Linked DNA regions of Xenopus tropicalis. The protein of the gene in region 5 purifies or fractionates together with the protein of the main gene of each other region. This does not show direct contact. Links are inferred from orthologs where the notes say so. Each region holds a gene or a part of one and is shown on either strand. Other genes may lie near its edges.

Region 1 (4,471 bases), on a different chromosome or scaffold from region 5:
CTGGGACCAGTGCACCTAGCAACCAGAGACAACTGCAAACTTTCTGACTGGAGAGTAGGAGGGTTAAAAAGGCAACTAATTAATAATTGCTATATGAACACTGAGAAAAACACAACTGCTTACATTACTTCTGTCTAAGACATCTCATTAAAAGGTAAACTTCACCTTTAAAGTTTTTCTAAACCGAGTCCCAACAAAATAAATAGGTTGTACACATTGGAACAGAAAATCCAGGTAAGGGTAAACACTGGCAACATTTGGGTAATTCAAGCTCAATGCTGGTTATACATTATCAGCTGGATAAGAAAGAGGAGATATTCTGCCAGGTTTCTGCCAGGCTGTCAGTCCAATCTGTTACATTCAGTGGGCTGTAGGCAGATATAGTGGTATGAGGGGGTGTAATTGTAATTATACAAACACAACAGAACTCAAGATCAGAAAGATGCTCACAGGACTGGTGTTGCTGAACAGCAACTGCTGAAACTATAGTTAATGTTATAAGCAAACTTTTACCAGGGTGATTTATAATAACTGTCAGGCAGTTACTCACATTGTGCCCAGCTCAAGTAGCACATCAGGTACAACACTATGTGCAACCTACACGCTGCCAGCAAAGTGTTACCTAAGCAGTTTGATAACACACAATATTGTCACAATAAGAAAAGTACATACTGCACATACCTATGTGCCCAAAATATCAATTGGGCACTGCAAGCACTCTGGCACAGATACTCTAGTGATTGTAAATTATCACTCTCACAGCCCCTCGGCCTCAGCAGCACTCTCACAGCCCCTCGGCCTCAGCAGCACTCTCACAGCCCCTCGGCCTCAGCAGCACTCTCACAGCCCCTCGGCCTCAGCAGCACTCTCACAGCCCCTCGGCCTCAGCAGCACTCTCACAGCCCCTCGGCCTCAGCAGCACTCTCACAGCCCCTCGGCCTCAGCAGCACTCACACCCACTGAAAGCAGAGTAAAGGAGGTTTCACCATTAGCACCTAAAGGGGTCATTTTGTTGTAAGGGCAGTCACGTACTGACGAGTAAGGGTGCTGATGAGTTGCAATTAAAAGTTAAATACAATATAAGTTTCCAACAATCACTTGTAAGTGATTCAAAGTGCTGCCCAACCCCCAGGTACATAGAGGAACATGTCAGGTTGAACCAGCAGCTGGGGAGTTTGCTTTCCTTCCTCTGGGTCAGTGTGTACAGAACTGCATCAGCACTTGCCCCACCTGCATTTACATTTCTGTCATTGTCACAGCACACTCCCGGCAAACTCAGCAGCTCATACACACTCAGTGTACACATGGATCAGCAGACTAATGCAATAGGCATAACGTACCAGCTGTGCCCAGCTTAACTAATGCCATAGACACAATTACATCAGACACACATCACAACGCAAAGACTGCTCACCAGGCATATACTGTAAACAAAGCAGGCCAACCACACACGGTGTATACACAGTACACCCAATGCCCACACACACAGTACCCCAGGCATGAACTGGGAACCCAAAGTACACAGAACACACAGACTGTACATAAAGAACCCAAGGCATAGAAAGGGTACCCACAATAGTGCAGGCACAGAGTAATACAGGCAGGCACAATGAAACCACAGTGCCCCCATGTGTAGTGTACTCACAGTGCCCCCATGTGTAGTGTACTCACAGTGCCCCCATGTGTAGTGTACTCACAGTGCCCCCATGTGTAGTGTACTCACAGTGCCCCCATGTGTAGTGTACTCACAGTGCCCCCATGTGTAGTGTACTCACAGTGCCCCCATGTGTAGTGTACTCACAGTGCCCCCATAGTGTACCCACAGCGCCCCCATAGTGTACCCACAGCACCCCCATAGTGTACCCACAGCGCCCCCATAGTGTACCCACAGCGCCCCCATAGTGTACCCACAGCGGCCCCATAGTGTACCCACAGCGGCCCCATAGTGTACCCACAGCGCCCCCATAGTGTACCCACAGCGCCCCCATAGTGTACCCACAGCGCCCCCATAGTGTACCCACAGCGCCCCCATAGTGTACCCACAGCGCCCCCATAGTGTACCCACAGCGCCCCCATAGTGTACCCACAGCGCCCCCATAGTGTACCCACAGCGCCCCCATAGTGTACTCACAGAGCCCCCATAGTGTACTCACAGCACCCCCATAGTGTACTCACAGAGCCCCCATAGTGTACTCACAGAGCCCCCATAGTGTACTCACAGAAGCCTCATGTGTAGTGTACTCACAGTGGCCCATAGTGTACTCACAGTGGCCCATAGTGTACTCACAGAAGCCTCATGTGTAGTGTACTCACAGAGCCCCCATAGTGTACTCACAGAAGCCTCATGTGTAGTGTACTCACAGTGGGCCAATGTGTACTCACAGCGCCCCAAGGCATACACAATCTATTCAAAGTACCCAGCCATGGCCACATTACCCCAGGCATGCATGGTATATCCAGCACCCTAATGTGACCCAATGTAACACAGGGACACAGCACCCTCACTGTATTGTACCCACAGCACAATAGGAACACAGAGGGTAAATAGAGCACCCAGCACTGCAGGCATATTGTCTGCCCCCCAGCACATCACAAACACACAGTGTAAACACAGTACCCACACTGGTATCAGAACCATGCAAGTTCCATCAGTAGAGCATGAAGACAAAGTAAAAGCCCTGGCAGGAATATACATGGCCAGCTGTGCCAATGCTCCCTGTCATCCTAGGAAGCAGCCCAGTGTCTCCCACTCCCCTACTGTACAGCCAGTGAGACCCAGCACCGCACACACACACATCTATATAACGTACAGCTTGTAAGCAGCCACCCACTCCCTTCCCAACCCTCCCTGCGAGCATCCCCAGGCCGGCACAGCCGGTACCTTATGTCTCCGGGAGCCTGTAGGATAGCGGTGCTTGCAGAGCAGACAGGAAGCCGAGCTCCGGGCGGAGAGCGCTCAGATACTGGCAGCCAGGCAGGGGCAGGAGGAGGGAGCGGGCGGGGAGGGAGACAATGCGCAGGCGCAAAGCGAACAACGGGGGCGATACGGAGGGGCGGGGGGGACAAACGCAGGCGTCTACAGGATGCCCTCTTGCCTTACAGCAGGGGCTCATAGGGACCCACACACTTTGGGCGTCCGCTCTTCAAAGTTCAGGGCTACGGGCACCCTTAGGCTCAGAACCTTTTGTAACTGGGTGCCACCGTATTGAGATACATTGCTGTGTACCGCTGGGTGCTATGGGTGCTAGTGGAGCCGGGACATACCCTCCTGCAATTGGGCTACAGCAGGGCTGCTTCCTTCCGTTTCTATATTACTTGTGCTTATAGCCTCCTATATACTGTCATAGCTATACACCTCATATACCTACATACTGTACCTGCACCACTCATCTATAGACATACTGTCATATCTACAGGCATTATACCTTATATACCTACCTACATACTGTACCACTCATCTATAGGCATACTGTCATATCTACAGGCATTATACCTTATATACCTACCTACATACTGTACCACTCATCTATAGACATGCTGTCATATCTACAGGCATTATACCTTATATACCTACCTACATACTATACCACTCATCTATAGGCATACTGTCATATCTACAGGCATTATACCTTATATACCTACCTACCTACTGTACCACTCATCTATAGACATGCTGTCATATCTACAGGCATTATACCTTATATACCTACCTACATACTGTACCTGTACCACTCATCTATAGACATACTGCCATATCTACAGCCATTATACATTATATACCTACCTACCTACTGTACCACTCATCTATAGACATGCTGTCATATCTACAGGTATTATACCTTATATACCTACCTACATACTGTACCTGTACCACTCATCTATAGACATACTGCCATATCTACAGCCATTATACATTATATACCTACCTACATACTGTACCGCTCATCTATAGACATGCTGTCATATCTACAGGTATTACACCTTATATACCTACCTACATACTGTACCGCTCATCTATAGACATGCTGTCATATCTACAGGCATTATACCTTATATACCTACCTACATACTGCACCGCTCATCTATAGACATGCTGTCATATCTACAGGTATTATACCTTATATACCTACCTACATACTGTACCTGCACCACTCATCTATAGACATAATGTCATATCTACAGGTATTATACCTTATATACCTACCTACATACTGTACCGCTCATCTATAGACATGCTGCCATATCTACAGGCATTATACCTTATATACCTACCTACATACTGTACCACTCATCTATAGACATACTGCCATATCTACAGCCATTATACCTTATATACCTACCTACATACTGTACCGCTCATCTATAGACATGCTGTCATATCTACAGGTATTACACCTTATATACCTTCCTACATACTGTACCGCTCATCTATAGACATGCTGTCATATCTACAGGTATTACACCTTATATA
Region 2 (4,246 bases), on a different chromosome or scaffold from region 5:
TGGTAAATAGTTCCACCTGTTAAGCACTACTATAGTTGTCTAGGATATTATCTATAGCTATGTTCAAACGTTGTGTCTTGGATATTATTTCTGTATCTTGATTTTTTTTTTATATGATTTTTGGTGTTAGTATAAAGGTCTTTGTCAGTTAGCAATGCGTATTTGTGTTTTTCTTTATATGTATTTTTATCTGCTCCTAACTTCCAAACTGTCCCACTTGAGTCATACATTTCTTGGTTCCTCATGAGAGACCCAGGGCTAGTTAAAGGCTTGTCAATGATTTGTTAACTAAGGCTGTTTTTCCTGCAAATTGGGGAAAGTCTTGTAGACCAGTGCAGGTCTGGACTGCGATTTAAAATAGGCCCTGGCATTTCAGTACAGAAAGGCCCAAACAGCCCTCCCAACAGCCCAATACATGACTATGGCATCTTTCAGCAGCCCCTCTGGAATTTGCCAGAACCCACAGATTGCCAGTATGGGCCTAGACCAGCGGGTTCTCACCTGTCAGTGTCATTTTGACACAAGTTTCTCCAGATCAATTGAAATTCTATTTTTATAGAGAAATGAAAATATTAAGAGTAAATATTGTAGTGTGAGATCCAGTGCCATTTCTGCCATAAAGTAATGGGAAAGCCTTACCCTTTCTAACTTTCAAATGGGGGGGGTTTCCACTGACCCAGCACCTAATAAAAACCACTGCTCTGTGAGGCTGTAATTTTATTGTTTGTTACTTTTTATTAATTATCTTTCTACTGAGACCCTCTCCTATTCATCATCCAGCCACTCATCCGACGTGTCCTGATATGTTGTGCAAGTATTGGGCCAAGCCCACAGGGCCAGGGGTTTCAGGCCGGCCTGCACATCACTATGATAGGTTACAAGCCTGGCCAGTAAAAGTCATGCTTTATGTCAATGTTGTTAATAGGGAAAAAAATAATAGAAAGACTGTAGTTTTTCCCTTGAAATAGTTGGCAACCCTCCATCTACCTCAGGTGGATTCACATAAATCTGGCCAGTCATACTTACTCACTGACAGACCCACTATAGCTCAATGATAACTGGACATGTACATCCAGCAATATGTCATTTTTACCTACAGTTTTCCCCACTGCCCAGAGGCAGAGCACATGCCCTTCCATTCTTAAAAACTGTCCCTTCACACATCCTCAGCCTAATCATATAGTCTATAAACCAATGAGAAGCTGAATACGCGGTTATGCAGTTTCTCGTTGGATCCCAGGACCGTGCATGATAGAGAAGAAAAGGCCGTGCTAGAGCGGCTGATCTGAGCTCTCGCTTGTGCACTGTGAGCAGCAAAGGAATGAGGTCCGGGCGGAAACACTGTTTCCTCTGCACAGGTTCCGCTCCTTTCTTTATTTTTCCATTCTCTCCACCCCTCTCTTGTATTCCACTCCTCAGGCTGATGTGTACATCCCGCTGGGCCATGGCCTGCTCCGGTCCCGGACGAAGTGAGTGGGCGCTGCTCAGATGAAACTGTTCGTGTGCTGGATAATTAGCTACCTGCTCTGCCTGGCCGGGCTGAGGAAGATGTGGAGTGGCCGGTACCTGAGGAGTCACCTCAGCAGATCCCTGTACATGAATATGATGAGCCACAGCCAGGCCCCGTACTGGGATGGGAATCAGCAGGTGTGTAATGTCACTCTGGTGGGGGGCAGGAAAGTAGTGACACACCTAGTACACTAATCAGCCCCCCCCCCCCCAACCCCTCAGGTGTCCAGTCATTAGCACCCCCATCTTCTGTCTAGTTCAGAGATCAGCAACCTATGGCAGTGTTTCCCAAACTGTGGGGCCTGGAACAGTGGCAGGGGGGCTCAGCATGCTGGCAAGTTAGGTCAAGATTTGAGGAGCACACTGATTTGCTTGCCTAGATACAAATGAAAGCCCAGATGTAAAGGTCTGTTAAAGTGAGATACGGTGCCCTACATTTGTCAGAACTGAGCTTTGTAATCTAGAAATATCTAAAAGCCTGATGTAGATTTGCCATCTCTCAACTCGCACTGCTTGTTTGGGCACAACTTGCGTGGGATTTTGAAACTGAAAAGATTAGGAGTGGTAGAATGGCAAGGTGCATAAGAACAACCAGATAGTACACTGAAATAAGGGGGGGTGGTGAATTCATTGTAGCAGCTTTTAAAGGGCACGTAAATTCAAAATTAAAATTTTGCCTAGTAGACAAAAACTCTTATCCTAAATCTGAAGTTCTGTATAATGCCCCTTTCAGTTTGCTTAGTTGCTACAATAGGTTTATTGTTTTAGATTTGGACATTAACGTTTGTGCCTCCTTTGCAGTGGTACTTTTGCGACACAGAAAAATTAAGTGATTGCCTTCGGCCGGTTTTCATCCAGAGTTACTTAGACCATGGAACCCAGACATTCCTGAACAGAAGTATTGAGAAATCTGGCTGGCTTTCCATTCAGCTCTACCATTCCTTCATGTCCTCTGTGTTCAGTATGTTTATGTCCAGAACATCAATCAATGGGTAAGTTCTTTACTTCTTGTATATGAAGAAGTGCTGTCATGTATATGCATTTCTGTTCACTCACCCATTGTAACATTAAAATAAATAACCCAAAGGATAGTATCTTATCTTTAATGCCATAATTTACTATATTAGAATTGCACCATTATATTATATTATATAACTGTTACCACTAGTTTGCAATGTAATGTTTATGTGTATAATGTTACTCAAAATAACAAAAATAAACAGAACTGAGCATAAGCTACCATATACCGTATCCATATAATTTTACTGACATTGGTAATAAACACTGTCTCTTGGAAGCTCAGACTTAGGTAGAGTTATTGAAAATGGGATAAAAATGTAGTTGGCTACGAATAATAAATAAGTTAAATAACTTATGAGTGGTGTAATCTGAGGCCCAACAAAGTTTCAGTGTACCCAACTGTCAGGCCCACATGTCAAAGGCAACAGGCTGATCAATCAGATCTGTCAGGGAGTAAAGAGTGTCTGCAGCTCTTTCTTCTTTATCTACCACCAATAAAGTGAAATTTTCAGGTTGAACAGATACATTTTTTGAAACTGAATAGTTGCTATACATGCCCTGATGGTCAGGCAGTATGGTCAAAATTGGTCAAACCTGGGTACATACAGCTAGCCTTTTCCTCTCTTTGCAGGTTGCTTGGAAGAGGGTCAATGTTTGTGTTTTCACCAGAACAGTTCCAAAGGCTTCTCAAAATTGACCCCGAGTGGAAATCACATCGCTTGTTGGATTTAGGTGCAGGGGATGGGGAAGTGACTAAAGTAATGAGCCCTCATTTTGAAGAGATCTATGTTACAGAAATGTCTCAGACTATGATATGGCAACTTCAAAAGAAAAAGTACAGGTCAGTTATATAAACAAATTCTGTATCAGGTGTGTATGGAACACTTAGAGATCACTGGTTGTTTGCTGTTGTTCCTCGATAAGTGTATAGTTTAAAGAGAAACATCTCCTTTTTACTAGTTTACCTTAAAATGCGTATCCATCATCCGAAGGAACCAATTATCTGGGTATAACTGATACCTGGAGCTTCAGACTATGACTTAAGCAGCGCTGGATGTTGGGCTTTTCTTTGCTTAAATTCAGGAAGTTGGGCAGGAACTTAGCTACCAGTTCTGATTATTATGGTTGCAGAAGAAAGTTTGGGAGTTTTTACTGCTGAAAACGTTAATCTCTTAAGGAAAAAAATATTTTCTTTTTTCCAGAGCACTGGTTCCTGGGCATTGTATGGATACCATGGAAAGCCATGGAAAGCTGTTAGGATCCCTAAACAAAAATTTACTTCAGCCAGCTAAGCTTAGACAGTCTGCTTAGGTGCAATAAATTAATAATTTGATGTCCCTTATATGGTAGTAAGCAGCTACTGTGAATATTAGATGTAAAAGCAGTATGATAATATGAGAGGGAGCTGCCAAAATACTGATAGAGATGTATTATTATTATTTGGCACCATGCTTTAAGTCTTAAGATACAATAATATGATCTGCCTCAACCCCCTCAGCTAAGGGAATAAGTATGTGAGTTTCTTTTTATTCTTCATGATACTTATTCTGGGACATATAGATATTATAAGCATGTTTTACACAGTAATGCCTGTTATGCCTGAGATATAGATGGTAAAACTGTAACCTGTTTGTCCCTGACATAAATGAATTCTTTTCTCATATCTAGAGTGCTTAATATTGATGAATGGCAAAGCACAGGATTCCAGTATGACGTT
Region 3 (4,162 bases), on a different chromosome or scaffold from region 5:
TATATATATATATATATATATATATATATATATATATATATATTATATATACACATACATACATATACACACACACACACAGCCGTAGCAAGAAAAATCCCCATTTGCATAGTCAGTGACGGTTTCTCGGTTTCATGCTAGCCAGAAGTCTGTTGGGAAAGTAACTGGAATCATAGTTAAGGCTAGTCAGAAAGCGTAGTTTATGGGGTCTCTGTGCTTCATCTATTCCCACATAGATTGGCACAACTTTTACAGCTTCTTGATCTACATAGTTCACCAGACTCCATTCAGAGACATTATTGAACCAAGGGTCATTCAGGGAGGTAGCTGACACAATAAGGAATGATATTCGGCTGGACTGGATAACATTAGTGGTCCAAGCAATTGCCTGTGTTCCAGCAGTTTTATCCCGGTGCTCATCATAGCCACGGTAGCAATTCTGCTCTAGCATGCAGAGTATTTTGGCAGCCACATGGGCATCATCTAAACAGTACCACAGGGAGAAGTCATATAAGTAGTTAGTGGCACACATGTTGGATACCTAAATGTCATGTGCATTATCTGTGGGCAATGTTCTAATGACATCAATGGCCTTTGATTCAAAACATGCAAATTAAAATATCTAAATTATTTGTAAAGTATTATCAGAAAGCAGGGTCCATCTACTGATAAATCTTCCCCAAAACCACTTGTAGAAATTTCCTTTGGAGATATTCACACGTCTATTAACAGAAGTCAGCAGTGCTCCAGTAAAGTTACTGTTTAGTATTAAATAGTACATTGTAGACAATGTAGTGAATCTACATCAGCATGCTGCTAATCTTTGTGACCAAATGTGCATTACTTAAAGATCAGCACATGGGTTATTTCACATGGTAGCCTCTCTCAGATTCTCAATGTCCTCTTCTAGTTTTTCCCCTGCAGACCTCAGCACATCACATTTTGCCTTCAACTGGATCAGAGCTTCCTTTAGTTTGTTGTTCATATCCACATAATTGCAGCTCTGCCAATACTGCTTCTCCTTTTCACATAAAGTAGCATTATTGGAAAGCGAGGAATCTGTAAGACAAAAATGAGTGTCATGAAAACAAGAGGCTGACTTAACTATTACAGATATGCCGTGGTTTTGTATAATCTATGCTGAATACAGGGCAATTTTAGACCCTGGAACATGTATGTTTTAAGAATTGTTATATAACTTATGCTGAATACAGGGTAATTTTAAAATCTGAAATGTGTATATCTTAAGAATTTTTTGTAATATATGCTCACTATATAAGGTACAGCATTAACCCTGCACACTGTATATGAGATATGCTGTTTGGTTTAAAAGGGAAGTGACATCAGCACACAATGCCTCCTCTGATGAAGCACTTTGTGCGAAACGCGTTAGGAGAGGCACTAGGATGTACCCTGTCACTGTGTGGTATAGTATACATTTGAATCTGTTTTGTATTATGTTTTGAGAAAATCTCTGAGCCATTAAAATGTGGTTTTATTTTCACTGAATTTTTTGCTGTTATTTGTATATTGGTTCAGGGCCTATCAGTGAAATATAAAATGTGATTTCCTTTCCTAATTTATATTGTTGCAATTAATTATGCCGAAAATCAACCAGCATTACTTACCATCACTGAAGTCACAGATAAACACTGGATCAGAGGCTATAGCCCCATGGACATCTTGGAGAATTTGCTCAATGCTGGGTGGCTCAGGTCGGGTGGGAAGGACAATTCGCTTCTTGGCTCTGGAGGTCATAGCCAAAAGTTTTCAAAAACGAAAGAAAGGTTCTTCCCTAACTGAAAGCGGAAAAGTAATTAAAAATATTAATAAGAAGATCAAGTTTTTTTTTCCTGTTTGCATTGTGTCATAATTATTGGACAAAATACATGTTTTTGAAAGGAACTAAGGAATATATCAATTATATTTGTTATTTACATCTGGGAAAGCTTGAAAGAACTGCCACAGGTCTCTGTCTCTCTTGGAGTGCAGAGACCTGCAGCCTCTCCCATGAATAAAGGACTGCCTATGTTTAGCAGTGCTGTATTTATGGGGATGCAAGGCATAAGGGTTTCCTGCCTTCTAAAAAGGAAAATTTTATTTAAATAGAAAGGGAACCTGTGTATCAGTTACTATTAGGGATGCACTGAGAGATTGACTATGCCACTTGATGCTGGTGTGGTTGCTGTAATGCTGCAGGCGATATACATTATGTAGCCTTACAAAGAATGGAAAAAATGTGTCACTAAAGGTGGCCATACACGTGGCGATCTGGCGACCATCGGTCGCACGAAACATCGTCAGATCCGCCACACACCGTCAGGGCTGAAACAGCAGATAAGGAGGTAGAAACAATAGGATTTCTACCTCCTTCTGCCGATTCAGCCCTGACAGCAGATTTTGGTCAGGCTCCTTCTATGGCGCCCGATCAAAATCTTTTAACCGGTCCGACCAGCGATATCGGTCGAGGTTTCGTATGATATTATCAGTGCGTGTATGGCCAGCTTTAGTGCTGGGGTAGGGTGATAGAATGTAAAAAAAAATGTAAGCATCAACAGCAGGGGAAAACAACACTCCTACCTGCACTGCTCAGAAACAAACCAATGTAAGGAAACTGCATAGAGTATATATCCCTTAAATAAAGTATTTTTACAAGGCAAACATTTAACATAACTAAGTCTGTAAAACACCTGAGCACGAATTCCATAAGTAAAATATTCACATTCCCCTGAAGAAAGAGAACAGTTCCAGACAAAGAATAGAAACCATAAGTAATAAGTTAATCATAACATACTTAGCAACCAGATCGTTTAGAAATGACGTTCCAGAGACCAGGCAAGGGAAAGGTACACCGGCTGGACGCCACCACTACACAGTAACCCCCCCACCACCAAAGCTTCGTCAGATATGACATCATCAATAAGTGACCTGGCATAACAAGGCACTCTGGGCGGAAAGGTAAGATCTCATTGGTTATGACAATTGGCAATCACTGGAAGGTTCCTGTCTAAAACGAAGCAGTTACGGTATGTACTTGCGACATCTAGTGGTGAAACTATGCAATTGACACAGTCTTGTAAAGGGGCATAAATATTTAGTTACATGTTTATGTTAGTGTATTTACGAGAACAGCATACAGCGCCTTTATATCGTAAAAAAGTCTTTATTGGATACCCAGGGCTCGGTTAGTTTATTTTATAATAGGCATTATATTTCCTCCACTAATAGGATTCCCAAATCCATATAATGCCAGATCGTCATGTTTTGAAGGTTTCTTTATATGATTTCTATCAAATTACGTCACCTATTAAAGAATCTTACCAAGCTGGAATATATATCAGCTTTGCTAAAGCTGCCAAATGCTCACTGTGCACACACCCATGCTCCCTTTAATGTCACTGAATGCCTACTGACAATGCATGCATTGAATTTGATGGAGAAACTGGAAAACCCAGGGGAATGGCGTATGGTGACCAGAGACAGGGCATAGGCAGTCCACATGACATGACATGTCAGAGAACTATACAGTATATGTTGTGAAGTACTGCAAGAGATGAAAAGAAAATTTGCTATACTGTTTCCTACTTCATCATAAATGCTCCTTTCTATCAGGTATTTTACAGTGGTGCAGTATAGTGACCAGTCAATTATTTCATGATATCTGAGTTATGCATACAGTGGAGGAAATAATTATTTGACCCCTCACTGATTTTGTAAGTTTGTCCAATGACAAAGAAATGAAAAGTCTCAGAACAGTATCATTTCAATGGTAGGTTTATTTTAACAGTGGCAGATAGCACATCAAAAGGGAAATCGAAAAAATAACTTTAAATAAAAGATAGCAACTGATTTGCATTTCATTGAGTGAAATAAGTTTTTGAACCCTCTAACAAAAAAAGACTTAATACTTAGTGGAAAAACCCTTGTTTGCAAGCACAGAGGTCAAACGTTTCTTGTAATTGATGACCAAGTTTGCGCACATTTTAGGAGGAATGTTGGTCCACTCCTCTTTGCAGATCATCTCTAAATCCCTAAGGTTTCGAGGCTGTCTCTGTGCAACTCTGAGCTTGAGCTCCCTCCATAGGTTTTCTATTGGATTAAGGTCCGGAGACTGACTAGGCCACTCCATGACCTTAATGTGCTTCTTCTTGAGCCACTCCTT
Region 4 (4,367 bases), on a different chromosome or scaffold from region 5:
CCCAAGACTGGCCCCAGCCTGGCCCAGCACACAGCTGGCAACCCACGACAGACTGGCTCTCATCCTGACCTGGCACCACAACTGGCCTCTCCTGCACCTACAAAAGATGGCTCTCACCATGGCACCGTACACAGACTGGCATCTCACCTGTACCCTGGGCACCCACAGACTGGCTCTCAACTGGCACCACAAGATGGCTCTACCTGACCCCTGGCAGACCAAGACTGGCCTTCCCCCTGGCACTATCACAGACTGGCAATCTCACCTGAACCCTGGCACCCACACAGACTGGCTCTTACCCTGGCACCCAACGACTGGCTCACCCTGGCACTAACGACTGGCATCTGCACCCTGACCTGGCACCACAAGACTGGCTCATCACCTGGCACCACCGACTGGCTCTCCTGCCCTTGCACACCAATGGCCTTCTCACCTGACCCCTGCACCTACAGACTGGCCTCTCACCCCTGACCCTGGCACCAACAGACTGGCCTCTCCCCTGGCACCCACACAAGCTGGCACCACACAGACTGCACTCACACAGCTGGCACTCACAAGACTGCCTTTTCCCCTGGCACCACACAGATGGCACCCACACAGTGGCACCCACAACATTGACTGGCAGCAACAGCGGCACCACAGACTGGCTCTCACCATGACCCTGGCAGCCAACAGCTGGCCTCAACAGCCTGCACCCACAAGATGGCACCACCAGGCTGGCACCCACACAGACTGGCCTCTCACCTGACCCCTGGCACCCCACAGACTGGCCCCACACAGCCTGGCACCCACACAGACTGGCCCCACACAGACTGGCACCCACACAGACTGGCCTCTCACCCTGACCCTGGCCCACACGAGCTGGCCCAACAGCCTGGCAGCGCACACAAGACTGGAACACAGCCTGGCACCCGCACAACAGACTGGCTCTCCGCCTGACCCTGGCACCACAAGACTGGCTCTCCCTGCCCTGCACCACAAGACTGGCTCTCAACGCCTGACCCTGGCACCACACAGATGGCCGCTCTCCCTGGCCCCTGGCACCCACACAGACTGGCCTCTCCCCTGAACCCTGGCACCACCGACTGCTTCTCACCTACCCCCTGGCAACACATGACTGGCTCCACATCAGCATGGACAACAAGACTGGCACACCACACAGCTGGCACGCACAGGCTGGCCTTCACCTGCCCTGGCACCAACAGAACTGGCCCACAGCTGGACCCCACAGACTGGCCCCACAGCTGGACCCAACAGATGGCCTGCTCACCTGACCTGGACCCCAACAGGGACTGGCCCCCACAACAGCTGGCACCACACAGACTGGCACCACACAGCCTGGACCACACAGACTGGCTCTCACTTGAACCTGCACCCACACAGACTGGCTCTCCTGACCCTGGAGCCCAGACTGGCTCGTCACTGACACCTGGCACCCACACAGACTGGCCTCCCCCTGACCTGGCACCAACCAGACTGGCCTCTCCCTGACTGGCCCAACAGATGGCTCTCACCTGGACCACTGGCACCACACAGAGCTGGTCTCCCATGATCCATGGCACCCAACAGACTGGCCCCCACACAGCCTGCACCAACAGACTGGCTCTCCTGACCCCTGGCACACACAGACTGGCTTCACCCTGACTCTGGACCAGACTGGCCTCTCCCCTTGAAACTGGACCCACACAGATGGCTCTCACCTGACCTGGCACCCACACAGACTGGCTCTTCCCTGACCCTGGCACCCACACAGACTGGCCTCTCACCCTGGCACCCACACAGACTGGCCTCTCACCCTGACCCCTGGCACCCACACAGACTGGCCTCTCCCCCTGACCCCTGGCACCCACACGACTGGCTCCCCTGACCCCTGGCACCCACACAGACTGGCCTCTCACCCTGACCCCTGGCACACACAGACTGGCCTCAACAGCTGGACCACACAGACATGGGGCAAAAAAAACCCACACAGCTTTTGGCACCACACAGACTGGCCTCTCCATGACCCGTGGACCACACAGAACTGGCCTCTACCCTGACTCCTGGCACCTTCCACAACAGACCTGGCCTCTCCCCCCTGAACCCCGGCACCCACACGACTGGCTCCCCAAGACCTGGCACCCACTACAGACGGCCTGCTCACCTGACCCTGGCACCACACAGACTGGCCTCCACAGCCTGCGCCACACAGACCATGGGGCAAAAAACCCACACAGCCTTTTGGCACCACACAGACTGGCCTCTCACCATGAGACCCTGGCACCACAACAGACTGCCCTCTTCCCCTGACCTGGCACCCACATACAGAACTGGGCCTCTCCCCCTGACCCCTGGCACCCACACAAGACTGGCTCTCTCCCTCGACCCATGCCCCACAGTACTGCTCTCTCCCCTGACCCTGGCACCCACAAATCACACACATCATCACGACCTGGCCTCTCCCCTGATGGCACCACAGCTCGGGCCAAAGCGCCCAACAGAGATGCACAAGCTGGCCCACGTGCTTCCCGCGACGCCTTGACCCAACCTGCTGCCTACCTCACCACACAGAACTGGCCTCCTCACCTTGACCCTGGCACCCACACAGACTGTGTCTCCCCTGACCCCGCACCAGCACACTGGCATTCCCACCCTGGCACACACGATGGCCTCATGATGACCAAACACAGCTGGCTCTTCCCACCCCTGGACCACAAGACTGGCCTCCACCCACCCCGCACCCACTGGCCCCACATGGCACCAACGTCTGGCCCCAACAGCCTGCCCAACGACGCTCTTGACACGCCTGCGCACACAAGCCTGGCATGCACAACATCACGTTAAGAGTAATTAGAGGTTACATAATGAGGGATGGGGATATTGGGAGCTGAGCAGCAGGGGGGCCGCCCTACCCCCCCCGGGACCCACTCACCAAGGATCCGGTGCCATAGTGACGACTGGCCGCTGCCCCACTTCCTGTTTGTGTCACATGTGCGACGGGAGGGCAGGAGGGACAATAGCGCCGAACGCTTCCTGGTTCCGAACCCTGTAGCGTATGGTTGTACTACAACTCCCAGAATCCTCTGCTCCCCCCGCCCCTACATCACTTCCCACTCCCTGTGTTATTGTTACGCACTGCCTGCCCCTCACCCACAGAGCTTACACTCTTATTTGGTGCTTGGCTCACACCCTGCCCCACAGCTCAGCCCCAGGGCTCCTCCTTTCCTTTAGTAACAGAACCACTGTCCCACAGTGATTGGATAGGAATAAAAACACTGGGAAAATGGGATTATAGTAACCCTGTAACAATGGTTGCTAGGGTAGCACTTACCATAGCAACATGCAGTGGTTTGAATGACAGGGTTGGGCCCAAGACCCCAGGAAGGGGGGCCTGTAAGGGTGGCCCACGAAGACCCCAAGTCCAATATTTTTGGGCCTGGGGGGCTTTTTGTTTGTGCCTCTGGTACTGGGAATGCCAGGGGGCTGTAAGGTGCCACAGACAGTCACTATTTATTGGGCTGGGGGGCTGTTTGTGCCTCTGGGTACTGGGAATGCCAGGGGGGCTGTAAGGTGCCACAGACAGTCACTATTTATTGGGCTGGGGGGGGGCTGTTTGTCCTCTGGTACTGGGAATGCCAGGGGGGCTGTAAGGTGCCACAGACATCACTATTTATTGGGCTGGGGGGGCTGTTTGTGCCTCTGGGTACTGGGAATGCAGGGGGGCTGTAAGGTGCCACAGACAATCACTATTATTGGGCTGGGGGGGCTTGTTTGTGCCTCTGGGTACTGGGAATGCCAGGGGGGCTGTAAGGTGCACAGACAGTCACTATTTATTGGCTGGGGGGGCTTTTGTGCTCTGGGTACTGGGAATGCCGGGGGGGCTGTAAGGTGGCCACAACATCACTATTTATTGGCTGGGGAGCTGTTTGTGCTCTGGGTACTGGGAATGCCAGGGGGGCTGTAAGGTGCCACAGACAGTCACTATTTAATTGGGCTGGGGGGGGGGGGCTGTTTGTGGCCTCTGGGTAACTGGGATGCCAGGGGGGCTGTAAGGTGCCACAGACAGTCACTATTTATTGGGCTGGGGGCTGTTTGTGCCTCTGGGTACTGGGAATGCCAGGGGGGCTGGTAAGGTGCCACAGACAGTCACTATTTATTGGGCTGGGGGGGCTGTTTGTGCCTCTGGGTACTGGGAATGCCAGGGGGCTGTAAGGTGCCACAGACAGTCACTATTTATGGGCTGGGGGGGGCTGTTTGTGCCTCTGGGTACTGGAATAATGCCAGGGGGGCTGTAAGGTGCCACAGACAGTCACTATTTATTGGGCTGGGGGGGCTGTTTGTGCCTCTGGGTACTGGGAATGCCAGGGGGGCTGTAAGGTGCCACAGAC
Region 5 (3,674 bases):
ATGTTATTACAACCCTCTGTGCATTTGTTACAGAATCATTTTTATTCTGTCATAAGATTTTGTAAAGAAAGAAAGGCAAGAGGCAACAATTCATCAAAACTTTGAAATTGAAAAAAAAAAATGCATATTTTATCTGGTATTTCATTGGAGCCACATCCAGAAAAATACAGGATTACATTAAAAAACACAAGTATATACAGCCTAATTATACTATTGTGTGTTTTTGAAAAATTGGTGTCAGAATTTAATGCTCACAAATGAAATGAAGGAACAGTCACATCCCCAAAGAGATCAAATAAACATAACAGGTGGCCTGTTATCCCAAGAACAATATAATAAGGCTGCAGAGTTAGCGGACAGGAATTCCTAAAAGTGTTGCTTAATAACTGGGTATCATACTCTTGTTTCACAGCAGTTGCACAATTCTGTGGTGCAAATCTAAAATGAAGTGCACTCCTTTTTGCTGAAAAAAGTTGAGGTGGTGAAAAATGTCACCTGAGGAGCATGTAGTTTTATAGGCATATTAAAGGTGGATGTGTAAAAATAAAAAGGCACACATTATTGTCTGGCCATAGACAAAGCCTGTGTGTATGCCCAGGGTAAAAACAGCAGCAGTATCAAAAGATTTGCTTATTTTGCTATAATGCTATATGCCTATTTAACAGGCTGTGACACTGATTTAAAGTGCAACTGTCACTATTGTAAAAAAAAAAAAAAAAAAAAAAAAAATTGAGAAAAATGTAGTGGCTGTTTTAGTTACAGCTGTTTATATATCTAAAAAATTGTGAGCTGCTAAACTTACAGTGAGTGAGTTACTCAGATTTCACCAGGTGGAAATGCAATGGCCAGACCTTTACAGTATCTGCCCAAAGAGCCTGTGGGCCAAATGTAATGATACCAGACCAGCAGCCATACTTCTAGCAACGTAGCCAATGTTCTCTACATTCAGAATGATCTAAATGATCACAAATGTGCTGGGGTTCTCCCTGCTTTTACTTGCTTTCCTGTGCCAATAACATTCTTAGTGAAGGGGCCCCCCTGCAATCTTGAGGCTCGGGCAGTATATATGGAATTGGACAAACTGCCTGATCAAATCTGGGCATGTGAACAACTTACTGATTCCAGCATTAGTGAGCAATTTGCACTGACATGGTTGGTAGAAATTTGGCAGAATATCAATGTCTACATCATAATAAAAGGGAACAACCCCTTTGAAACTATTTCTGGAAAAAGTGGTTATTTAGAAACCACTAATTAATTTCTTGTCAATATTTTAGTGTTTCATTATTTGGAACTTCTCAAAAAATAACATACAGGGTTGGAAACATGTGCAGTTTATGTAATTGCTTTTATGATCCAGCAGAAGTTATTTTATATACACGTAGTGATTAAAATATAATTACATTTATTTAAAAAGTTGCTTTGCTGTACTTTTGAATTAGCTCAGACATTTTTATTCCAAATTCTGAATTTCTTTTGTTTTTCTTTTCATATTTGACGTTGCATTTCAGCTAGGCTAACAGCATGCTGTCACTTTCCACACAGGAGAGATGTGCATAGAAAGGCTAGAGAACGGAAGCTCTACTCACAGGAAGCCTAGTGGCAAGTGAATGAAGTCTTGTATAAATAAAATATAAATAAATACAGTCCCAAGTTACAGGCACTTTCAGAACGGCTGCAGACTCATGGGTCCTGAGAAGGTGGAAGAGGAACCTCTGGCGATGCCAAACGGGCTTGGTATATTTAGAAAAACAAAAGGAGGTTATAAAGAAGAAGAAAGTCCTGTTAAAACCATGTCCACCTAAATTATAACCTAGGTAAGTACCTGGAAAAGAACTTTTGTCATAAACCTTTGCAACCTAAATCAGGAGTAACATCCTGCCTGCTTTATGTGGCTTCCCTTCGCTTTTTACCTCAGTCTATTCTAATTAGATCTTTCACATTTAGAGCCAGAACATGAAAGACTAACAGCAGCAATGTTGTGTCAGTTTCAATCTATAAACAGTAGAACATAAGTGCAAAGTACAGAACACTGATAAGGTGACAACTTTTCTGCTTCTTAAAATGGCAACAGCAGCTTATCACATACACTTGGTTCAAAATCAACACCATACTGTTGTATTGGTACCAACAAGAATTCTGTTCCTGTGATCACTGATCATCCAGTCACATATACATGTAAACTTAAATTCTAATCTGAGCTCTGCCAGTAAGCCAGAAATCAGCAAACTATTTAGGATTGTAATACGCAGTAACGTAATGTTCTCTTACTGACCCACTCTAATACTTTGCACAATGCTTAATACCAAGGAAAGTGGGATGATATTTACAATACTATTGGCCATGCAGTAATTTAGTTTTCAGTGGGAGGAAACCATAATACCCCTATATGAAAGTCTACATGAAATTAATGGGGTTGTTCACCTTCAAAATATCTTTTTGTATGTTGTAGAGAGTGCTATTCTGAAACAATTTGCAATTGGTCTTCATTTATTATGCTTCATGTTTTTTTTAATTATTTAGCAGCTTTCCAGTTTGGAATTCTAGCAGCTATTTGGTTGCTAGGGTCCAAATTATTCTAGTAACCAGGCAGTGGTTTGTAAGAGAAACTGGAATATGAATAGGATGATAAGTAATAGAAAGAGTAATAGAAAGTAATAATACAATGAAATTGTAGCCTCAAAGAACAATAGTTTTTTGGCTGCTGGGATCAGTGACCCCCATTAGAAAGCTGGAAAGAGTCAGAAAAGGAAAGCAAATAATTAAAACTTGATAAAAAAAAAATGAAGACCAGATGAAAAGTTGCTAAGAACTTGCCATTCTTTAACATACCAAAATTTACCTTAAAGGTGAACCACCCTTTTAAGCACTTCAACGCAGATTGTGAAAATGGCACATAGAAAACTAGCTTACCCTTAAAATATGGCAATCTATGCAATTGCTTTGCTTCAAATAACATACTGTTATCCATGCCATGGGCTTATTGTGCTATAGCGTAAAACATGAGGTTTATGTGCAAACTTGCTTAACTCTGTAAACATTTGAGTTGTAGGTCTACACGGCCTCAGCAGAATACTGCAGAGAGAAAGGTTATTCTCTTTTGGTCTATAAAGATTCTAGATTCCAATAAGAAAATGTGCTTCTCCTTTATATATAGAGACAGAGAGAGCAAGCCACTGCTGCTTCATAGTAAGGATTTTAAGGTTAACATGTATTGCTCTGGGTGTCCTACACCTAGTGTGTCAGTTGTAAGGCAACAGTCCATGGGACTTAGGCATTGGAACAGTCAGTGCAACGGGTGCTCTCCTCTTGCCCGTAACTCTGTATCTGAATGAAGCATTTGTACATTCCATGTGTTTTCAGCAGTACATGTCTGGCTTTATTTTGCACTTCCTCCCACTTTGATGAGGCATCAGGACCTGATGGAAAACATGAGTGGTTAGAAAAGTAATTTCTCCAGCATTATCATGATTTGCTTTCTTCCTTTGATTTTTTTCTAGGTTTTTGCAAAGCACACTATGGTTATAAACTAGAGTTTAGTTCCCTATTTGTCCCCACCACATATGACAGATATGCACAGAAATACTACAGTTAATGATAGTGGCCATGAAGTTAAACTTACACAGTTGCAAATGTATTATGGCAGCAGATTTTCCTGTTGTGAGGGACCAGAC
Region 6 (4,298 bases), on a different chromosome or scaffold from region 5:
GGGTGGAATTAAGAGCTACAACAGTGCAGCATTGGTATCTAATTGTGGGGGCTGGGCCAGCAATTTAAGTCTTTGTTATGGGCGGGCTTAAATATACACCCCCACCAATCTCTTTTCTCCATTTATCTCCAGGTCTAACTCCTTTTATAGACTTGTGCCCATCCCCTCCTGTGACATCTAGAGATGGGGGAGTCGGGCGCAGTTATGTAAACAGTTGCAGTATGGTGGGTCGGGTCGAAACGGGGCAGGTTTGGCTTTCCCCGGGTCAAGTAACTGTTGGCCCAAGCTTCTCGCTTCTCGGCCCTTTGGCTAAGATCAAGTGTAGTATCTGTTCTTAAGGGGGTTCTCCTCCCCCCCTATATAAGACAGTCTACCATGATCCTCTGGCCAGAGGGCCGGTAGCATGAAAGCCCGAGGTGCGCCGTGCCCTGGGAGTAGCGACCCCAGGGTGCCCGAACAAGCACAGTGAGGTGGTGGCTCACGCTGCACTAGTACAGCACTTTGCACAATGGCACTTTAAGTTTTTATGCTGCACTCGCTCCTTCTGCCCCCGGCCTTTTGGCTGATGAGCAGAGAGAAATTTTTAAAATTCCGGACGTCAGGCTGGGGCCGTATACACGGCACTCTTTTTCTTATTTTATATTTATTCACTTCTTGTTTTGTCACTGCACTTTTTTCTATGTGACCCTTTCGAATGGGTTCTGAGGGTGCAGTTGCCCTTTTGGGTATGCCCCACGGACCAAGGGGAGGACTGTGTGGCCTTTTGGCTCCTGTCTCTCCCCGACCTAAGACAAGACTTCGGCCTTGACTGTACCTCGGAGGAAGCTTCGGCGGATTCCGGAGGAAAGGGACTCTCCCTAGCCTTGCGGCGAAGGAGAGTCCGAAGACCCTTGCCCCCGTGAGCCTTTTGGTCCGGGGGTCGGGGATGTAAAGGGACCCTCCCTAGCTTCGGCAAAGGAGGGTTCGAAGACTCTTTTTTCGCCGAGCCTTTTGGCCACGTGGGAATCGAGTATGGCAGCTTTGCCCCTTTAGGGGCTAGCAGCTAAACGCACCCTTTGTGCACTTTTGTGTGTTTTTTGCACGATGCACTTTTCGCACTTTTTGCACTTAGGAAGAAAGCACGACCTCGGGCTTTCAAAAATAAAAAAAAACTGTTGGCCCAAGCATCACTAGCGCCCAACTGTGGAGCAGGGGCTCAGTATCAATGCAAGTGAGGGTAAGATTTTGAGGGAAAGCCTATTTGATCTCCTAGATACACCTGAATGCCAATCTAGATGGTTAAACTCATACACAAAGGTTTCCTATATCAGTAACCATGAGCTAAGGGGCCCCCAGCCAAAGATTGGACCCTCAAAGAGGCGGGGCTTCAAGTGGTAAATAAGTCAGACAAGCACTAGTATATCAGTGTCACACAAGCCCTAGTGTCAATGACCTGTGTCAGCTGTCAGCCAATGAATGCCATTCATAAAGTATATAGTAAGGAGATGCAGCCGCAGCAACCATCAAATAGCTACAAAGGGCCACAAAGTAAAGCTTCTAATCCGAACAGAAATGGGGGTGAGCAGTAGGTAGGAGAACAGTGCCAGTGGGTTTTTGGCATTCTAGTCATACATGGCCCAGGCAGTCATGTACAGCACCCACAACCAGACAAATGTACAGCACCCACAACCAGACAAATGTACAGCACCCACAACCAGACAAATGTACAGCACCCACAACCAGACAAATGTACAGCACCCACAACCAGACAAATGTACAGCACCCACAACCAGACAAATGTACAGCACCCACAGCCAGACAAATGTACAGCACCCACAGCCAGACAAATGTACAGCACCCACAGCCAGACAAATGTACAGCACCCACAGCCAGACAAATGTACAGCACCCACAGCCAGACAAATGTACAGCACCCACAGCCAGACAAATGTACAGCACCCACACTGGGACAGCTATTAAAGGGAAAGTCACTCTGGGTTATGGCTGCCTTTAATTATTTAGAATCTTGACAATCCAGGCCAGGAATGCCTGCACTCCACTTCTAGAACTACAACTACCCAGCATGCCCAGTCATACAGCAGCAATGTGAGAGGCTGGGCATCTAATATCCAGGCAGAATATATATGCCCTGCAACCCCGGGCACCCAGTGACTATACCAGGCACCCAGTGACTATACAGGGCAACCCCGGGCACCCAGTGACTATACCAGGCACCCAGTGACTATACAGGGCAACCCCGGGCACCCAGTGACTATACCAGGCACCCAGTGACTATACAGGGCAACCCCGGGCACCCAGTGACAATACAGGGCAACCCCGGGCACCCAGTGACAATACAGGGCAACCCAGTGACTATACAGGGCAACCCCGGGCACCCAGTGACTATACCAGGCACCCAGTGACTATACAGGGCAACCCCGGGCACCCAGTGACAATACAGGGCAACCCCGGGCACCCAGTGACAATACAGGGCAACCCCGGGCACCCAGTGACTATACAGGGCACCCAGTAACAATACAGGGCACCCCCGGGCACCCAGTGCCTTTGTGATCAGCAGTCTTGAAACTATACTCCTCTCCCCCCGCCCCCCGACCCCTGGGCAGGCTTGGGCTGCCGGAGGATGCTGGGAGTTGTAGTTCAGCGACAGGAGGGGCCAGCGATGGCGCTGTACATAACAGCATGACTGCGCAGCATTACAGACAACTTCCCCGCACTGAGTGAGGGCAGCACAGCGCTCCGTACCCCCGGGCCGCTCCCCGCATCCCCCGCACACCGTTCCCTTCAGCCGGGAGGCCGCTCACCGGAACACAGGCCTCTGCCCGCCGGCCCTGGCACCGTATGTCTTACCTTTATATGTTGCCGCTCGCCAGTACGTTGTACTCCCTCCCCTCCGGCTCCGACTCCCCGCTCTCCTCTCCGTCCGTGTTATCCCGCTCCGTGCAGCCTGCCCAGAGCTTCAAAATGGCGCCAATTTGTCTCCGGCAGCTCCAATGGAAGCGGCTATGGGAATAAGCGCGGCCTTCCCCGCTGTACGGTCATGCAGCGGCCCCAGGCGGCCAAACTGGGAACTGCCATAGATCCACCCCCTCTCGGTGACGAAACCTTGGCGCTCTACAACTATGGGCGAGTGAGAAATCCGTTTGACTAGTGGAATGGAAAGTATTCAGTAGCCACAGGGCAAATCCATTCCACTACTGTGCCAGCGGGGGGACGCTGTCAGTGCATTCCCTAACCATCTGTCATGTTACAGGCGACACTTATGCATGTAGGTACTACATGGCTAAGTAATAGTGGCCCTATATGGGCCCATAAAAGCTGTGTATGTTGTCACTTAGATTGTAAGCTCTACGGGGCAGGGACCTCCTTCCTACTGTTTCTCATACCACATGGCATTTATATATATATATAAAATTAGAAAGAATGAAAGAATATGCCGCACACTCAGGTCTTAGATGCAAAAAACAAAATTTTTTTTATTTGGATCAAGGACTCGATCCTTGATCCAAATAAATTTTTTTTTGTTTTTTGCATCTAAGACCTGAGTGTGCAGCATATTCTTTCTAATTTTGTATGCTCACTTTATACTGCACCCAGGCAAATTATTACTTCATTATACGTGAGTGCCTGTTTTCACCTGTTCCTATATATATATATACATATATGTATTTATTGTATTTATTTATTATATCACTTGTCCTCCCTGTGTGTAATTGTGTATTCTGTAAGACTGTACAGCGCTGAGTACCCTTGTGGCGCTTTATAAATAAAGTTATACATACATACATACATACAAATAGCAGTCGGACAGGTTTGAAAATTCCATCAGACAAGGTGCATTGAAGCAGTCTTCATCTGATTGGCCCCCACAGGCCTAAAGCAGGCCAGGCATTGAAAGATCCGCTCAGTTGGCGAGGTGGTCACACAATTAAATATTGAACTCATCTGATTGGTTGGCCCTCGGGCCAAATGATTGGATCATAATTGCTCCTATGCAGACTGTCAGATTGAGGACTTCATCAACGTGCACGTCTGGTCCTCTATCCCATGTGAAAATCAAAGCTGTCCTATTTTTGGCCAGATATCAGTCGAGTAGGCCCGTCGGAGGGCCTCATATGTTGGCCAATACCAACCAAAGCCTGCAGCTTTTATTGACCCATGTGTGCCCACCTTTAGTGTTAATAGTGAAGTTAACCTCGCACTATAGTTAGACACCTGTCAAGGCACACCAGCTAAGACCTATTAAAAATACCTTTATTAAGTTTACTTTAAAATCAAATGATTAACTTTAAAATCCTTTAG
Region 7 (4,238 bases), on a different chromosome or scaffold from region 5:
ATATGCTATTTAATTTACAGCACTTTATTTTTAAGCACTTTTTTTTTTTAGAAATATGCCTCTAAATGTTTTACTTTATTTCCCAAACACATTTTGCGCATAGACAAATGAAATAACATAATATAAACAAAAGCGCTGCTAAAAAATATTATTCTCAACAGATTATTGTTGCATAATGTTATCCTACTTTGTTTTATAATGTATCTAATGTGTCCTTTCAGGTTTGTTTTGTTCTTTGAAGTGTGTCTGGAACTTTCATTTACCTAAATAATTCCTGTCCTTTAGGCATATTTTTAAGGAAAAGTTCATTACTTGGGGGGTATTAAACAGATAATCTGACTAAATACATTATTTTCCTTAAAAAGAAAATATACCCCACTTTTTGATAAACTTATTCAGTTGAGCATTTATAAAAAGGGTGTGTAAACACTACCTTATTTTAAGTAACTATAAAAATAAGTTCATATAGTGTTTGATAAACTTTTCTACATAAGACCAACTGAATGGCTTATGTTAAAAAAGGCAGCTGAATTTACAGGACAATTGCTAGCAACTAGGTTTTGACTCAACAAAGGTGTATTTTGTCTATTCAAAAAAACATAAATAACTGTAAGGCACAATGGTTAAATTGTGATTCCCACAGTTTGCAAAGTATGTGAAAATGCCTTTATGTGACAGTGAATGGAAAATGCCACAAGTAAAACATCTGTATCATGTAATCACACAAAATTGTCTTTGGGCTTATTTTAACCTAATTGTGCAATCTAGGCCATTTCCGTTCACTGCCGCAGAAAGGTATTTCCAGGTGCTTTGTTGTCTGCAGATGACAAAGTACCCCATGTGCCATCACCCACACAGCACAAAGAAAACATAAGCATTGGCTGAATCCAGAACTTACCTAAACTAGAAATCAAATTAATGGTTTTCAATGTAATAGCAGGACTGGTGTTTGGGTCTTCGAGAAGCTCAACAAGACTGCTCAAACATTCACTTGGTAATATTTGATTGGATGCAAACAATTTGTTCAGGTTCAGTCCAATAATTACCTTTAAAGATATAAGGCAAACATATCAAACTTTCTGTTACCTTGCATGGATGGATCAGATACATGTTAACAGAGCTTCTATAATTTTACTAAGCAATTTATAAGGGATGTACCAAAACCAGGATTCAGTTTCACGATTTAGTTCAGCTCCTAATGTTCAGCTGAACTGAAGTGACTTTAAAGAAATGGACAGCTGAAAGTGACATATGCAATTTAGGGTCCTTAAAGGAGAAGGAAAGGCTAATATAGTGTTAATCTCAAGTTACAGGCATACTTTCAGTTCTCTCAATAGTGCTCTTAAGTCTTCCCATACTTTGCCTGTTCAGATGATCAAAAGCCTCATAGGGAAAAAAAAAACCCGAGCTCTGTAAACAAAATTCCCATAATGCCTCGCTCCTGCACCAAGACCCCTGTACATGCGCAGTTTGTAAGACGTTGAGGGAGCTTCCCACTGATTGGCTCAGATCACACATTCCTAAGGGGGGGAGGAGGGAGTTCTTAGCATTCTTATAGAGAGGGAGGCAGGAGAGGAGAGAGCTAAGCAGACTCAGGGCTCAGAACAGCATTTCTGTAAGTGCTTATGGCTGTATTTACATAGACCTTTCTGATAAAGCTTACTTAGTTTATACCATTCCTTCTCCTTTATTTGGCTCAGCCTTAGCCTTTCTTTTGGGCAATCTAGGTGCCTTGATCAGTGCTCCTGCCTGTGATTATTGACAGCAGCCAAGAGTCAAATTTAGCTGCCCTTCTAAGCACTTTGGAACAATACTCACATAGCTTACAGGCATCTGTAGCAAGATGCATTGCTTCTTTGGAAACAAAGCTTTTTCAAAATTTTGAGACTTTAGTGTGTAAGGGTGTACTAAAGCCCAATGGAAAAAAGAACAACTAAAACGTAAAAGGAACCTTCATCCAACTGTTATTGCAGTTGCTACCAAGGGTTCTGCCAGAATTATCCCCCCTAGAGGGGTAGTTCACCTTTGAACAACCTTTTAGTATTATGTAGAGTCATACTTTAATACTGAGACAATCTGCATTCTGTATTCATCTTTTATATGTTGCAACTTTTGAATTACCAGGTTGTTAGGGCTCAGTTTACTCTAGCAACCAAGTCAAGGCTGAAAGATAAATAGGAGTGGGCATGAACAGAAACATAACAAAAAGTAACAGTAGCCTCACAGAGCAAAATTTTTATGGTTGCTGGAGTCAAAGATCCCCATTTGAAATCTGGAAGAAGGCAAAAGGCATGCTATACCATACTACAAGTTATCTTAAAGGTAAACTACCCCTGGCAACTGTACCAATGATCTACAGCTATTAAGCAATAATTGTACATACTAAACAGAAATAAAAGAAATTAGTGTTGCTGCTGCACAAACCCTGTTGAATTGTGCAGCATATGGGTTATACATTTAGTAAGCAATGGAGGAGTTGGCACTCCGAAGCAAGTTGCACAAGCCAGTGGACCATCCCATGGAATCATTTCTTTCATGTCAAATACAACTTAGAATCAGCATGCCACTTTCACAGTATTTTTAGAAAAATTGTAGCAAACACTGGTTTATATATTGTAAAATAAACTATATAGGGTAGAATGAAATATGAGATATCTACTTATTTATTCTTGTTCCAGCTATTGCAACGCACAGGCAACACAGAGCTAATGATATGGCTTCTCACCTCCAGCTGCCGATGTAGCACTCCCCCGTTACTGTCACTCTTACATGTTTTGTACTGCGCTACAGCCAGTAGAAGGCTCTTCATACACGACGTGGCATCCATAGCCCTCACAGACCCCGGTTCAAAACTGACTCAGAACCAAACCTGAATGTACCAACACTGGCAAGTCAGATTTCGCGCCCTAAGCTTTCATTTTGGTTGAAGCTAGGATGTGACGTCGGATGTGGAGTCACGACGGTGGCCTGATTTGGACAGAATATGACGAAAGGCATACTTGTCAGGTGCTGGTCGAGCGAAACGTACTAGTCCGCGTAGAACTAACTATATTGTTGAAGTATGTATGCCAATATATCACTGGTGCAACTATAGAAGGAGTCGCTCATCCGCACCCCTCTTTCGTTTACAGCAGGGTTGCCAAATTGGGTTACTAATTTAAAGTCCTGGCGGATTCCAAAAGTACAAACCCGCAAAGATACAGTTTTGGGTTATTTTTTGGAGCCTTGGTGGGTTTGTTGTTAGGAAACTTGCCAAAGTTTTTTTTCCCCCTAGTGTGCCTGTTTCACTGCATGCTGGGTAATGTAGTTTGTATCTAACAACTAGCCTACAGCTAGGATTAATATAAAACTACAATACCCAGCATGCAACTGGTATAGACAGAGGCTACGTTTTGTATTCCCTTTTAGTCTTTCAGGCTCAACCTGTATGTTCTGCAACTAGCAGCTCTATAGGGTATGTGATTGTACTATTACTTTCTACTGTGATGTGGGGGCAGTTCTGCATTTGGTCCTTAAGCTATACCTCTTGGGATACTTTGGGGCTTCTGAGAGTTGTAGTTTAACGCACCCATATGTATATCATGTCTGGGGTTAATGTAACAGAATGTAACAGAATCTATTTCTGTAGTGACTTCCCAGCTGGACTGGGCACAGAGGGCAGGGAATTATCAGCCATCCCAGTAACTGGGTAGCATTTTTGCATTTTTCATTGCACATATTGGGCTATTTTTGGGCTACTTTCAAAGAGGCTTTTGGCTAGTTTTGGGCTAGTTTTGGGCTGGTTTTAGAAGTGACTTTGGCTAGTTTGGAAAAATAAATCTGGCAACCCTGGTTTACAAGTACATTTAAACTGTTAGAAATCTCTACATTCTACTCAGGCAGCCAAAGTATGGCGATGTGCGTCACAGCGTGATGCATGCACTCCTTTGTAGCCGCCAATCTAAAAAGTAGGAATAGAGGGGGTTGTACCACAGCGGAAGGGGTGCAAGTTAACCCTTTTTAATGGTGTTTCACCTAAGATCGGGGCTGTAGTCTTTCTCTGTTGCCAGTGGTCCTTAAAGTGGATATATAACTTGGGTGTATAGGGAAGACAGGGATATATGTTTTTTTTGTATCTTCAAATGCTGTAAAGTAAGCCATATTCCGCTCACTTGTCTAGTGCCCATATGTCAGTTATGTGGCTCCCTGAATGAACAAATTCATTAATAAAATTAATAAACATTGTCTTCTTTAAGAAA

What was found.
Region 1: the proteins of slc30a4 (region 5) and fut8 purify together in Homo sapiens (co-immunoprecipitation; 3 studies listed by BioGRID and IntAct, with this or other methods). This does not show direct contact. The link is inferred for Xenopus tropicalis from reciprocal best matches to the Homo sapiens genes SLC30A4 and FUT8.
Region 2: the proteins of slc30a4 (region 5) and mettl9 purify together in Homo sapiens (co-immunoprecipitation; 3 studies listed by BioGRID and IntAct, with this or other methods). This does not show direct contact. The link is inferred for Xenopus tropicalis from reciprocal best matches to the Homo sapiens genes SLC30A4 and METTL9.
Region 3: the proteins of slc30a4 (region 5) and c19orf25 purify together in Homo sapiens (affinity purification with mass spectrometry; 3 studies listed by BioGRID and IntAct, counting the BioPlex papers as one, with this or other methods). This does not show direct contact. The link is inferred for Xenopus tropicalis from reciprocal best matches to the Homo sapiens genes SLC30A4 and C19orf25.
Region 4: the proteins of slc30a4 (region 5) and stx8 purify together in Homo sapiens (co-immunoprecipitation; 3 studies listed by BioGRID and IntAct, with this or other methods). This does not show direct contact. The link is inferred for Xenopus tropicalis from reciprocal best matches to the Homo sapiens genes SLC30A4 and STX8.
Region 6: the proteins of slc30a4 (region 5) and pds5b purify together in Homo sapiens (affinity purification with mass spectrometry; 3 studies listed by BioGRID and IntAct, counting the BioPlex papers as one, with this or other methods). This does not show direct contact. The link is inferred for Xenopus tropicalis from reciprocal best matches to the Homo sapiens genes SLC30A4 and PDS5B.
Region 7: the proteins of slc30a4 (region 5) and cip2a purify together in Homo sapiens (affinity purification with mass spectrometry; 3 studies listed by BioGRID and IntAct, counting the BioPlex papers as one, with this or other methods). This does not show direct contact. The link is inferred for Xenopus tropicalis from reciprocal best matches to the Homo sapiens genes SLC30A4 and CIP2A.

What each region holds. Positions count from the first base shown.
Region 1 is NC_030684.2:119,798,978-119,803,448, forward strand, and holds the start of fut8 (alpha-(1,6)-fucosyltransferase), read right to left. Parts: upstream 2,922-4,471; 5' UTR 2,882-2,921; intron 1-2,881. UniProt on the Homo sapiens protein: Catalyzes the addition of fucose in alpha 1-6 linkage to the first GlcNAc residue, next to the peptide chains in N-glycans.
Region 2 is NC_030685.2:25,156,979-25,161,224, forward strand, and holds the start of mettl9 (methyltransferase-like protein 9 precursor), read left to right. Parts: upstream 1-1,390; 5' UTR 1,391-1,488; coding exon 1,489-1,647; intron 1,648-2,310; coding exon 2,311-2,501; intron 2,502-3,160; coding exon 3,161-3,370; intron 3,371-4,197; coding exon 4,198-4,246. UniProt on the Homo sapiens protein: Protein-histidine N-methyltransferase that specifically catalyzes 1-methylhistidine (pros-methylhistidine) methylation of target proteins.
Region 3 is NC_030677.2:99,423,870-99,428,031, reverse strand, and holds the start of c19orf25 (UPF0449 protein C19orf25 homolog), read right to left. Parts: upstream 2,846-4,162; 5' UTR 2,795-2,845; intron 1,800-2,794; 5' UTR 1,759-1,799; coding exon 1,629-1,758; intron 1,060-1,628; coding exon 869-1,059; 3' UTR 44-868; exon of another isoform or gene 2-43; 3' UTR 1-1.
Region 4 is NC_030686.2:49,416,065-49,420,431, reverse strand, and holds the start of stx8 (syntaxin-8), read right to left. Parts: upstream 2,944-4,367; 5' UTR 2,929-2,943; coding exon 2,912-2,928; intron 1-2,911. UniProt on the Homo sapiens protein: Vesicle trafficking protein that functions in the early secretory pathway, possibly by mediating retrograde transport from cis-Golgi membranes to the ER.
Region 5 is NC_030679.2:104,579,840-104,583,513, forward strand, and holds part of slc30a4 (zinc transporter 4), read right to left. Parts: coding exon 3,623-3,674; intron 3,420-3,622; coding exon 3,271-3,419; 3' UTR 1-3,270. UniProt on the Homo sapiens protein: Probable proton-coupled zinc ion antiporter mediating zinc import from cytoplasm potentially into the endocytic compartment. Controls zinc deposition in milk.
Region 6 is NC_030678.2:153,120,914-153,125,211, forward strand, and holds the start of pds5b (sister chromatid cohesion protein PDS5 homolog B), read right to left. Parts: upstream 2,931-4,298; 5' UTR 2,847-2,930; intron 386-2,846; exon of another isoform or gene 290-385; intron 1-289. UniProt on the Homo sapiens protein: Regulator of sister chromatid cohesion in mitosis which may stabilize cohesin complex association with chromatin. May couple sister chromatid cohesion during mitosis to DNA replication.
Region 7 is NC_030678.2:103,689,971-103,694,208, forward strand, and holds the start of cip2a (protein CIP2A), read right to left. Parts: upstream 2,907-4,238; 5' UTR 2,828-2,906; coding exon 2,726-2,827; intron 1,047-2,725; coding exon 899-1,046; intron 1-898.